Linked DNA regions of Callithrix jacchus. The protein of the gene in region 1 interacts with the protein of each later gene in a pairwise test. Links are inferred from orthologs where the notes say so. Each region holds a gene or a part of one and is shown on either strand. Other genes may lie near its edges.

Evidence for each region.
Region 2: the proteins of SREBF2 (region 1) and NFYC interact in binary tests that used the Homo sapiens proteins (3 or more experiments, as listed by UniProt). The link is inferred for Callithrix jacchus from reciprocal best matches to the Homo sapiens genes SREBF2 and NFYC.
Region 3: the proteins of SREBF2 (region 1) and SP1 interact in binary tests that used the Homo sapiens proteins (3 or more experiments, as listed by UniProt). The link is inferred for Callithrix jacchus from reciprocal best matches to the Homo sapiens genes SREBF2 and SP1.

What each region holds. Positions count from the first base shown.
Region 1 is NC_133502.1:189,935,615-189,939,776, reverse strand, and holds the start of SREBF2 (sterol regulatory element-binding protein 2), read left to right. Parts: upstream 1-1,217; 5' UTR 1,218-1,449; coding exon 1,450-1,846; intron 1,847-4,162.
Region 2 is NC_133508.1:77,227,966-77,232,041, reverse strand, and holds the start of NFYC (nuclear transcription factor Y subunit gamma), read right to left. Parts: upstream 2,809-4,076; 5' UTR 2,556-2,808; intron 2,218-2,555; exon of another isoform or gene 2,217-2,217; coding exon of another isoform or gene 2,123-2,216; exon of another isoform or gene 1,849-2,122; intron 1-1,848. UniProt on the Homo sapiens protein: Component of the sequence-specific heterotrimeric transcription factor (NF-Y) which specifically recognizes a 5'-CCAAT-3' box motif found in the promoters of its target genes.
Region 3 is NC_133510.1:66,143,963-66,147,608, forward strand, and holds part of SP1 (transcription factor Sp1), read right to left. Parts: intron 2,139-3,646; coding exon 1,939-2,138; intron 1,194-1,938; coding exon 880-1,193; 3' UTR 1-879. UniProt on the Homo sapiens protein: Transcription factor that can activate or repress transcription in response to physiological and pathological stimuli.

The DNA.
Region 1 (4,162 bases):
TCAGTTACATGGGATCCAGGGCCAGGGGGAAAATATCAGTTTCCTGAGGTTTGGGTTTAGCCACTATTCTTCCAGCATTTCTACTGAGCCTTCACTTGTACCCCCTCAGTCCACTTGGCCAGGCATCACAGCCTCTGGGCAGGTCCAGGGAGGAACTATGGGCACAGGTGCTGTGTGCCACCTCTGCAGGGGGTTACTGAGGCTCTGGGTTATAGGTGGGTGCCCTGGGCCAGAGAGAGTTATATGGAAGTTATTGCTGAATACCCCCAGAGTACCAGTCACACAACAGTGTGAAGGGCCCTGCAGGAGCCACTGGGCAGCACAGTTGAAGGTGGCACCTTTCTGCTGAGTGCTGGGGCCAGAGCAGGGTTTAGTTTTCTGTCTTTCAGGGTGAGACTGGTGTATTCTGTACCAGCCTCCCTGTGTGTGAACAATGAAGAGAACAATCTTGTCTTGTTTTCCCCAAAATTAAGACACTATTTCTCACTAGTTTATACATGTTTATTATAAAAGGTAATTTAAACAATACTGAAATGTCAGAAAAACGTAAAATTCACCCCAAATCTCACCACTCCCGTAACTATGACTGACAGTGTGATCGCCTTTTTTTTGGTCAATAAATATACCTTTGTGTGCGTAATTTTTAATGATCCATGGTATTCCGTCGTGTGGATGTAATTTACATATTCATTTCCTTATTCTCACTTCTTCCTAGTTACAGCACTTCTTTAAGTACTTGTGATTTTATTCCTTGGGATAAATTCCTAGATGTTTACAACACGACCAGCTGGCCAGCTGCAAGATGGGGCAGTGAGGTCGTTGAAGGAGTAGGAATCCGTAGGTGGGCTGCGCTTCAGAATCTCGGTGGAACTTTTTCAAAATACTCGTGCTCGGGTCCCCGTCTCAGGAGGCCGGCGGTAGGGCTGGGCACTGGCATGGTTTTCAGGTCTTGTGGTTCCGAGGTCCCAGGGATTGAGGACCACTGGAGTAAGCGCTAGTTCACGGCGGGTGCAAAGCAGAAGACGATAACTCCTGACTGCCCTGGGACAATTCGCAACCCAGTCAAGCCTCGGTGCCAGCCTTTGTAAAGGGGCTGGGAGCAGCGGGACTTCGTTGACCCGGACTCCGGTCCTGAGCGCTGGGGGGCCAGATTTGACTCCGCCGGCTTTCTCCAGCGAGCAGGGCCCCCGGAGGCCGCTGGGAAGGTGACGTAATGTGCTTCCAGCAAAGGCTGTAGGCGGCGGCGGTCGCAGGTGGAGGGTGGTCTGTTAACCCTTCACTCCCAGGCCGGTGGACGGAATAACGTGTGGAGCAGATCCAACGGAAAAGGCAGCGGCTCCTTTAAACAAGGAGGAGCAGGTTAAGATGAAGACCGAGCGGTTACTCACCGCATTCGCTCCCAGGTTGCGGGGGGAGGGACCTCGCTATGCAAATCTGAGCTGCTGATCGATGACGCGCCATCACCCCACGCGCCGCCTCGCGCGCCCATTGGCTGAGATGAGCCTGGTCCCATTGACAACAAACAAGGGGGCGCGCGGCCTGGGGGCGTGGCCGCAGGGGGCGCGGGCTGGGGCGGGGGAATCCCGCCCCGCCCTTTCCGCGCGGCGCCAGGGCGCAACGCAAACATGGCGGCCGCTGGCATCCGCCGGTGAGGCGATACCGGACGGGGGTTGTCGGGTGTCATGGGCGGTGGCGACGGCACCGCCCCCGCGTCTCCCTGAGCGGGACGGCAGGGGGGCTTCTGCGCTGAGCTGGGCGATGGACGAGAGCGGCGAGCTGGGCGGTCTGGAGACCATGGAGACCCTTACGGAGCTGGGCGACGAGCTGACCCTGGGGGACATCGACGGTGAGTGGTGGGTGGGTGGGAGTACGGGGGCCGCGCGGGGAGGAAGGGGTTACGGTGGCGCGCCCGGGTGCGCGTGCGCCCACTCCTCGGCAGCCCCGGCTCGCGCGGGAAGCACCCCGCGCGCACAATCCCCCCCGGCGGCCCCCAACCCTTCCGGCTCTGCGAGCGTGAGCCCAGCCCAGCCGCGCCGCTCTGGGAGGCCGTGGGATCTGGGGCGCCGCGGAGCCGAAAGCAGCTCGAGGGTCTTGGGTTCTGGAGCGCGGGGCCAGCGACATCGCGGGGGCGTCTCAGGGAGCGGCCTAAGGAGAGCGCGTGGCCGCCGCCTCCCTTGCGCGCCCAGACGCCCTCTCCGTGGTCCGGTCTCCCGCCGCCCGCGGCAGCGTGTCACACCTATCACTACCTGCCCGGCCGCAGGGGCGGCTTTGAGATTCCCGGGGCCCAGCCCCGGGTCTGCGCACCCCGCATCCTTGGTCTTCCCGGGATTGACCGACGGCCGGGTCGCCGGGTGCTCTGCGAAACTTTGGGCAGTGGCCACAGAAGCAAGTTGCTGATGAAGAGAGCGGTGGCAGCGGAGTGTGGATGCATCTCTCCGGGATGGAGACCCGGGCGCTCCTGCTGTCACGCTACAAAGGGAATTGAGCAGAAGGAATTTTGAGTTGTGGCCCCTCGGGTACGGGCTGGGGAGCGGGTGGCCTTTGTTTCGGCGCCTTAACAGCGGAGTGGAAGAGCTGGTAGGAGCCTAGGGATCCTCTCTTAAAAATACTCATTTTGCGACCACGAGAATCACGATTTGGAAAGGGTCAGCGGCTTGCTCAAGGTCACCCAGCTGGTTAGAGCCCAGTTCTTCGATTTCCTGGGCCAGTATTGATTTTTTTGTACCCCTTCGTTCAGAGAGTCCAGTTGACTAGGCTAGTAATCTTACTAACTTGATAGTGTGTTCTGGGCTCCAAAATACTTTGTGTTATTTCACTTCTTCACAACAATCATGTGAGATATTCTGATTACCCCTATTGTAATACGGTAATGAAAGAAGCTGAGGACAGGAGATGCTGACTTATCTAAGGCCACGCACCTTAGAGAGCTTTAGGCAAAAACGCAGATGCATGGTACTTTTCAGTTTACAGAATGCTTTCATATCTAGGATCTCACTACAGCCTTGCAGGCATGTATGATGGCTGCATCCCTGTTGTGCAGATGAAGAAACAGAAGCAGCAGAAGATTCTCTTCAAGAGAAGAGATAAATGCAGCAGCTAATTGAAAAGGATCTGTTTGCCATATCCCCATTTTGCTTTTTGTAGTATTTCTCCCCTTGGTGTGTCCTTGTTTTCCATTTTAGTCTTGTGGACAGTGTGGTAAGACCCTTAATTGAAGCCCCACTTCTAACCACAGACTCTTCACTGAGTGCTCCTAAATTCAGAGATGGGTTAACAAATGGGGGTTGGAGGTTGGGTACCTACCAAGGGCAGCTAACATGTTTGAAGAACTTCTGTGCCAGCCAGTGTTAAACACTTATACACATTAATGTTCTTAATTCTCATAACCATCAGGTAGCGAGAACTGTTACACTAGTCATCTCCCTCTCACAGATCCTGAAAGTGAGGCCCAGGGCAGTTCATTAATTTACTGAAGATTACACAGCCAGTAGAAAGTACTGTATGTCTGTAACTGTCTACCAGCAAGGGCACAGAAAGGAATTCATGTGCATTTTGCATTCCTGTTCCATGATCAATTCCTACTTGTTTATTTATCTAATTTTCAAATTTTAATTTTTATATATTTAGTTATTTTTTGAGACAGGGCTGTATTCTGTCACCCAGGCTGGAGTGCAGTGGCACAATCACAGCTCACTGCAGCCTTGACTTTCTGGACTCAAGCAGTCCTCACACCTCAGCCTCCCAAGTAGCTGGAACCACAGACGTGTGCTACCACGCCCTGCAAATCTTCTGAAGTTTTGTAGAGATGAGGTCTCACTCTGTTGCCAGGCTAGCATAGGTCACAAACTTTTGGGCTCAAATGGTCCTCCTGCCTTGGCCTCTCAAAGTGCTAGGATTACAGGTGTGAGCCACCTAATTTTTTTTAGAGACAGGATCTGGCTCTTGCCCAGGCTGGAGTCCAGTGGCATAATCGTAGCTTACTGCAGCCTTGAACTCTTGGGTTTAAGCAATCCTCCCAGCTCAGCTTCCCAAGTAGCTAGGACTAAGGCATGTGCCACCACACCCAGCTAATATATATATATTTTTTGGAGAGCCAGTGTCACTATGTTGCCCAGGTTAGTCTTGAACTCCTGGGCACCTGCGGTCCTCCTGTCTGGGCCTC
Region 2 (4,076 bases), on another chromosome or scaffold:
CATTTTGTCTAGCCTTAGTAAAAAAGAAACTAAGTTACAGATCTACATCATTCTTCATATTTTGTTAACTTGATGACCGAGCCAAAGGCGGCTGAAAGAACCAATGTACAAAATGCATGGCAAACCCTATTTTCACTTGTAGCTTTGCCTCTATCTTCCACATGAAATGTTACTGCAAATAAAGATGAGGGAGGGCTTCAACTAAGCACATCAAGACATAAGGCAATTAAGACCTCCAACTCACTGGTCTCCCCTCAAAACCTGATTCAAATGTTTCCATGCAAAATTGGAACTGCAAATATTTTGTCCCATCCAGTCTTAATTTCACACATTGTTCAGGATAAGCATATCCTAGAATCAATATCCCACAGTCTGAAGAAAGCACTAGGCTTTGAATTGGTCCTGGTATTTGGAGACACCCTAAGGAACTGGTGATGTTTGGAAAACCACTTCAGTGAGCTCTTTACACTATGCATGTAGTAGTTCCTCACTGCTTGGCATAAATTACTTTCATATACAGAAAGCCTATCTGCAATATATTCTGAAACCTGGTTTTAAGGAATGCAGATATTTCAAGTTTCTGTACATATTTTTTCCCCATTATCTACCTGGGTTCAGGAAAAATGCAGCAATTTACTTTGTAAATCTTCCTTTACACAATAGAAACCAAGGGATATGACTGAATACCTAGCTGAAGAACCCATATTCTATATAGTTACAATTCTGTGGTCTAAATACTTAAGCAGCACAACAAATTCTTACGAATTATAGCTTTCCATTTAATACACTCTCAACACCCAGAAATCAAAGTAGACGATCCACTTGGAAATATAAAATTATCTGGAAGTTTGATCCGTGAGGTTTATGCTGACAGCATAATGTAGCAGAAGATAAAATTACAGGCTTTGGCATCAGGCAACCTGGGTTTGAATTCCAGCTCAACCACTTACAGAGTGACACTAGACAAGCTACTTAACCTGTGTGATCCTCAGTTTCCTCATCTGCAATATTGGGATGATAATGCCTATCTACTGGTGTTAAAATGTGCCCCAAAATACCAATTCTCTTCCTCTACTACTTTTCAATTCCCTTCTCCAGAAACTTTAGTTGCATTCACATAAAACTGAATACATTTGAAAACCATAGAAGTTTCTTGAATTTGGTATGAAAACAGAAGAGTAACATCTAAAACTAAAAGGACAACCTAACAAAAACAAGAAAAAACAAATTAGGAAAACACAGAGGTTTAACATAAATGTGTTTCCATGCTCCTCACACATTGGGAGGAGCAAATGTAAAGCAATATAAATAACTATGATTAAGATTCAGTGGAAAAGGAACATATCCCCAACAAGTCCAATGGAACGACTCTGACTGGAATAAAAATTTTGGAATATGAACCAGAAAGTGTTGACAAGTCCTGTTCCTTAAGAAGCCATCCGCCGGCTGGGCATGGTGGCTCAAGCCTGTAATCCCAGCACTTTGGGAGGCCGAGGCGGGTGGATCACGAGGTCAAGAGATCGAGACCATCCTGGTCAACATGGCGAAACCCTGTCTCTACTAAAATACAAAAAAATTAGCTGGGCATGGTGGCGCGTGCCTGTAATCCCTGCTACTCAGGAAGCTGAGGCAGGAGAATTGCCAGAACCCAGGAGGTGGAGGTTGCGGTGAGCCGAGATCGCGCCATTGCACTCCAGCCTGGGTAACAAGAGCGGAACTCCGACTCAAAAAAAAAAAAAAAAAAAAAACCACACCTCAGTGTTTAAATGCTTGCACTCTCCGGCAAAATCCCTGATCTGATTCTACATTTCATCTATGCCCCTAGCCCTGATGCCTTTTTCCCCATACCATGCACTCACACCGTGGACTTCAGGGCCACTTCCAAACTGGGTCACACTAGCACCCCTGGATCTCGAAGATCTCTCAGCTGGTCACTTGGGCTTCGGTGTTTCCAGGCCTGGAACCCTGAGGGCCTGCACAACCCCATGTTGGGCTACATATGTATCAGGAAAAGCACCTATGAAAGTGAATGTCCCCCATTCCAGGCCACAGCCCAGGCTACCCCCAAAGCACCGGCCAGGCCATCACCCTCTCTTCCCCCTTAAGGCCTCTAGGCTCGCACCCGCGCCGCAACCCCCGCGTGCGCCGCAGGGGGTCATTGCCCCCGCCGCCCTAGACCAAGACGCGCGCATCCCTGCAGCCTCAGATTCCTTCATCACCCCCTAGGCCGGAGCCGGCGCGACCAATAAGGTGCCAGGTCCGCGGCCTCCCCGCCACCAACCAATCACGAGCGAGCCCCCCCGCCGTCGCCTTCCGCCAATGGGAGAAAGCCCGCGGGCCGGGCCGACGAGGCGCACGGACCCCACGAGCGCGGCGGCGGGGACGACAGCGTCGGGGCTGGCAAGAACACAACATGGCGGCGAGCAGGCCGGACCGAGCTACAGCAACGGCCGCGCGAGGAAGTGAGGTCTCCGGCCGAGGCGGGAAGCGCTGCCCCTCCCCCCGCCGCCGCTCCCCTCTCACCCTCCCTCGCACGGAAGCTCCCGCACACTCACACGCCTTTGCTCGGGAGTCCGGGAAGAGCAGGAGCCGCCCCCGCGCTCCTGCAGAGTCGGGCAATGCAGAGGCCCAGGCACGGCGGAAGGAAGGGGAAAGCGTGCGTCACGGAGAACGGAGCGCGCGCGAAGCGGGGGCACAAACAAGATGGCGGTCACGCCGTTTGCACGGTCTCTCCTTTTCCCTTCCCCCTCCCTGGGCCTAGACTCTTAGTATCGGGCTGCGCGCAGAAGCTGAGCTGCTTGAAGTCTCGCGAGGATTGGGAAGGGGCGACGACAGAGTGAGGCGGAAAGAGATGTGAGAGTTTTGACCCCACCCCCTTTCGGGGGATCTGGAGGCGTTGCCCGGTGACCTCCACCTGGCTTTCTATCCTTGTGACTCTCTTTGGTGCGAGCTTGAATTTTAGTAAATAAGTAGGGGCGTGTGCGTGTGCGTGTGCGCTTGAATTTTAGGAAATAATACGTGTGTATTTGGGTTTTTAATTTGGGGAGAACTGGAGGATGAAGGTCGACTTGGCGTGCCAGATGAAGCATGCTGTTCAAGTAGACAGCTACTGGCGCCTTAAATTCATAAAAGAGAGCATTTGACACCAAACTGTAAAGTGATACCCTCCAAAATAAAGAACAGTACTTGGCAAGAATAGTTAGCTTGTAACTTCGACATAGACGTTGTTCTCATTTGAATGCAGATTTTAAATCTTTATCACGCAGTTGAAAACCACAGCTACAATGAGCATGGACTTTTTCACTTATCTCTTTCATTTCCATTGGTCCAAAGGCATCAGGATTTTATCCATTTTACAAATGATAAAACTGAAGCTCAAAAAGGTTAAGTAACTTGATCTAAGTAAGGCCCCACAGCTAGTAGCTGTCAAAACCCAATCCGAATAACTTCAAAACCTATAGGAATAGTCATCAAATGTGTTTTGAATGGAATTACCTACAGTAAGAGTTAGTGCATGAGGTAACAAGCACAGAGAGGAATGACTGCCTCTGCTGATGGTAACCTTGAATTTTACTTTGGAGCTTTTGTGACATGTGTTGCATGGGTCCTCAATAAAATCTACACATATTGTTACTCACTACCTGTGGGTTTATAACCCTGGTGATAAAGTAATTGAGAATAGTGGAATAAACCCTTAAATTCAGGAAAATTGTTTTCAAATCCAATTTCAATAAATGTGCTTTAGGCACTCAATAAATATTTGATGAATAAATTAACAAAACCTAACTATAAGACACTTGACTTCAGGGAGTCTCAATTTCTTCATCTGTAAAAGGATCTAATTCCTAACTCTTGGTAATGTAGGGAGAGTGAATGAAATAATGTGAGAGTGCTTTGTAAACTGCAATAGTGTTATAAAGAAGTTACTGCAGTAAGCTATGAACATGCCACTGCACTCTAGCCTGGGTGAAGCAGTGCAAGGCCTTGTCTCAGAAAAAAAAAAAAAAGTTACTTATAACAACAATGACATTTTCAGACTTCAGAAATGGCATACAATTATGAACAGGGAGACTCAA
Region 3 (3,646 bases), on another chromosome or scaffold:
CCACAGCTACTTCAAGCATCAGCCTGGGCTTCAAGGTTTTTCCATTCTGCTGCTGGAACTAAGGTCTTGAAAAAATTGACAGAAGTGCCTTATCCAGGCACTAACAAAAATAAAACATGAAGTGATCAGATATGAGAATGTGAGATGGCAACAGATGAGTCAGGAAAGGAGTGCAAGAAGCTGATCCCAAATAAAGACAAAATTATGAAAGGAAAAACATTATGTATGTATATATAAACTAAAAGCAGAGCATATGAATGCTTAATTTGGTGAGAAGCCAAGGCAACATCTACAGAAAAGCTGATGTGTCACAACAAGGCTCAGCCATAGGGAAATAAGGCAATATAAAAAAAATGACCAAGGTATTTTGGTCACAGAATGGTCTTCTTCCTCCTCCCAGCCAACCCCTGTGAATGCATCTCTATATATCTTTATATATATATTTATATATATATAATAATATAGAATCTGTTTTTTGTTAAAAAGTATTTCAATGATCATATATATTTATCAAGGCATGATGGCTTTAGGAAATGGGGCAGGGGGGTGATCCATCATGGAAGAGCTGAGAAGAGAAATGCAGGAAGGGTAGGCTGGAGTAAGAAGTTTAAGAAGAAACTGGGGTAAAACAAATGCTCATCAAAGGGTGGCACCAACAGAATTTTCACTAATGTTTCCCACCTTCAAAGAGGCACTGATGATATAGATGGGTGCCAGGACCCCATCTCTTCTCTTGTATCCCTCTCCCAATTCTTCCCACCACCATGCATTTTAATGCTTCATGGCTCTCTCTTCCCACATGTCTCTTGGACCCATGCTACCTTGCATCCCAGGGTTGATGGGTATGGCCCATATGTCTCTGGCCCCAGGTGCCTGATCTCAGAAGCCATTGCCACTGATATTAATGGACTGCAGATCCGCCACCTGCATGACGTTGATGCCACTGTTGGCAAGACGGGCAATGCCCTCTGGACAGATGGCCTCCATGGCTACCATATTGGTGGTAATAAGGGCTGAAGGAGTGGCAGAGCCGCTGCCTTCTGAACCTGCCCCACTGTCCAGGGGCAAAGTGCCCACACTCAGGGCTACACCTGGGCCTCCCTTCTTATTCTGGTGGGTCTTGATATGTTTTGACAGATGGTCACTCCTCATGAAGCGCTTAGGACACTCAGGGCAGGCAAATTTCTTCTCACCTAGGTAAAGGAAGAAAAGAAGCTGACATGTTAGGAAGTGAGATTACCTTACCTAATTCACTGCTTTCAAACTCTACTAGGCTGAATAAGGCCAGTATGACAAGATTATTAAAAACAAGAAAAATCTTGAAGTATCTTTTCCTTTTGGTTGGGGGGACAGGGAAGAAAAGTAGATAAAGGTTAGGGAGTACTCAGTAAGGACGGTGGAACTTAGCAGAAAAGTAAGGCAAGGCAGAGACTAAGAGTAATGGTTTCAATACTTCGCCTTCAAAATCCCACTCAAAACCTAGCTCCTTCCTTTTTTTTCCTTGAGACAGAGTCTTGCTCTGTCACCCAGGTGGGAGTGCAGTGGGGCAATCTCAGCTCACTGCAACTAAGCCTTCTGATTCCCCTGCCTCAGCTTCCCAAGTAGCTGGGATTACAGATGCCCGCCACCAAGCCTGGCTATTTTGTATTTTTAGTAGAGATAGGGTGTCCCCATGTTGGCCAGGCTGGTATCAAACTCCTGACCTTAAGAGATCCACCCGCCTGGGCCTCCCAAAGTCTTGGGATTACAGGCGTGAGCCACTGCACCTGGCCCTCCTTCCTTCTTAAAAGTTTTCCAGATTAACTCCAATTCCATTTGTGACCCATATAATTCAGTTTCAAATTAAGTTGCTAAGAAATTTTAGTTATTTTGTAAGTGTATTTTGTGTTTTTCATTCTGATCTATTACTATTTTTCTCTCCCACAGGCTCTTGCTCACCTGTGTGTGTACGTTTGTGCCTCTGTAGCTCATCCGAACGGGTAAAGCGTTTCCCACAGTATGACCAGGTACACATAAATGGTCTCTCGCCAGTATGCCAGCGCAAGTGTGCCCGCAGGTGTGAGGTCTTGCCATATACTTTCCCACAGCCTTGGATGTGGCAAATATGCTGTTTCTTTTTGCCAGGATCCCCTGAACCCCTAAAAGTAAGAATACAACTATTCATCATTCATTCTAAAGACAGAAACTAAAGAACCACAAAGTATCAACAGCAATTACCCAACCTACACCAAACTTACTCAAACTTTTTTTTTTTTGAGACAGAGTCTCACTTTGTCACCCAGGCTAGAGTGCAATGGTGCCCTCTTGGCTCACTGCAAACTCCCCCTCCCGGGTTCAAGCAATTCTCCTGCCTCAGCCTCCCAAGTAGCTGGGATTACAGGCGTGCCACCAAACTCAGCCAATTTTTGTATTTTTAAGTAGAGACTGGGTTTCACCATGTTGGTCAGGCTGGTCTCGAACCCCTGACCTTGTGATCCGCCCGCCTCAGCCTCCCAAAGTGCTGGGATTACAGGTGTGACCAAACTTTTATTTTTGAAAAAGGCTTCCTTTTTTTTGCTTTTGAGACTGAGTCTCTCTCTGTCACCCAAGCTGAAGTGCAGTGGCACAATCTCAGCTTACTGCAACATTGCCTCCTGGGTTCAAGTGATTCTCCTGCCTCAGCCTCCCAAGTAGCTAGGACTATAGGCGTGGGCCACCACGCCGGCTAATTTTTTTATTTTTAGTAGAGATGGGGTTTCACCATGTTAGCCAGGATGGTCTCGATCTCCTGATCTTGTGAGCTGCCCACCTGGGCCTCCCAAACAGCTGGGATTACAGGCGTGAGCCACTGCGCTTAGCTAAGGCCTCATTTTTTGTTGTTGTTCATTCTATTTTGTTTTTTTTGAGACGAAGTCTCACTCTGTCGTCCAGGCTGGAGTGCAGTAGCATGATCACAGCTCACTGCAACCTCTCCCTCTCCTACCCAGGTTCAAGAGATTATCTGGCCTCAGCATCCCAAGTAGCTGGGACTACAAGTGCACGCCACCAGGCCCAACTAATTTTTGTATCTCTAGTAGAAACGAAGTTAGCCATGTTGGCCAGGCTGATCGCAAACCCCTGACCTCAGGTGATGAATCCGTCCATCTCTGCCTCCCAAAGTGCTGAGATTACAAGTGTGAGCCACTGTGCCAGGCCAGAGGCTTTTTTTTTTTTTTTGAGATGAACTTTCACTTTTGTTGCCCAGGCTGGAATGCAATGGCACGATCTCAGCTCATCAAAACCTCCGCCTCCCAGGTTCAAGCAATTCTCCTGCCTCAGCCTCCTAAGTAGCTGGGATTACAGGCGCATGACACCACACCCAGCTACTTTTGTATTTTTAGTAGAGACAGGGTTTCTCCATGTTGGTCAGGCTGGTCTTGAACTCCCGACCTCAGGTGATCTGCCCGCCTTGGCCTCCCAAAGTGCTGGGATTACACCATGCCCAGCCAATGTTTCTTTTTAAAAAGGCTTCTAGGCTGAACAAGGTGGCTCACACCTGTAATCCTAACACTTTGTGGGGCCGAGGCAGGAGGATTGCTTAAGCCCAGAAATTTGAGACCAGCCTGGGCAACACAGGGAGACCCCATCGCTATAAAAAAATTTAAGTTAGGCCAGCTGAGGATGGCTC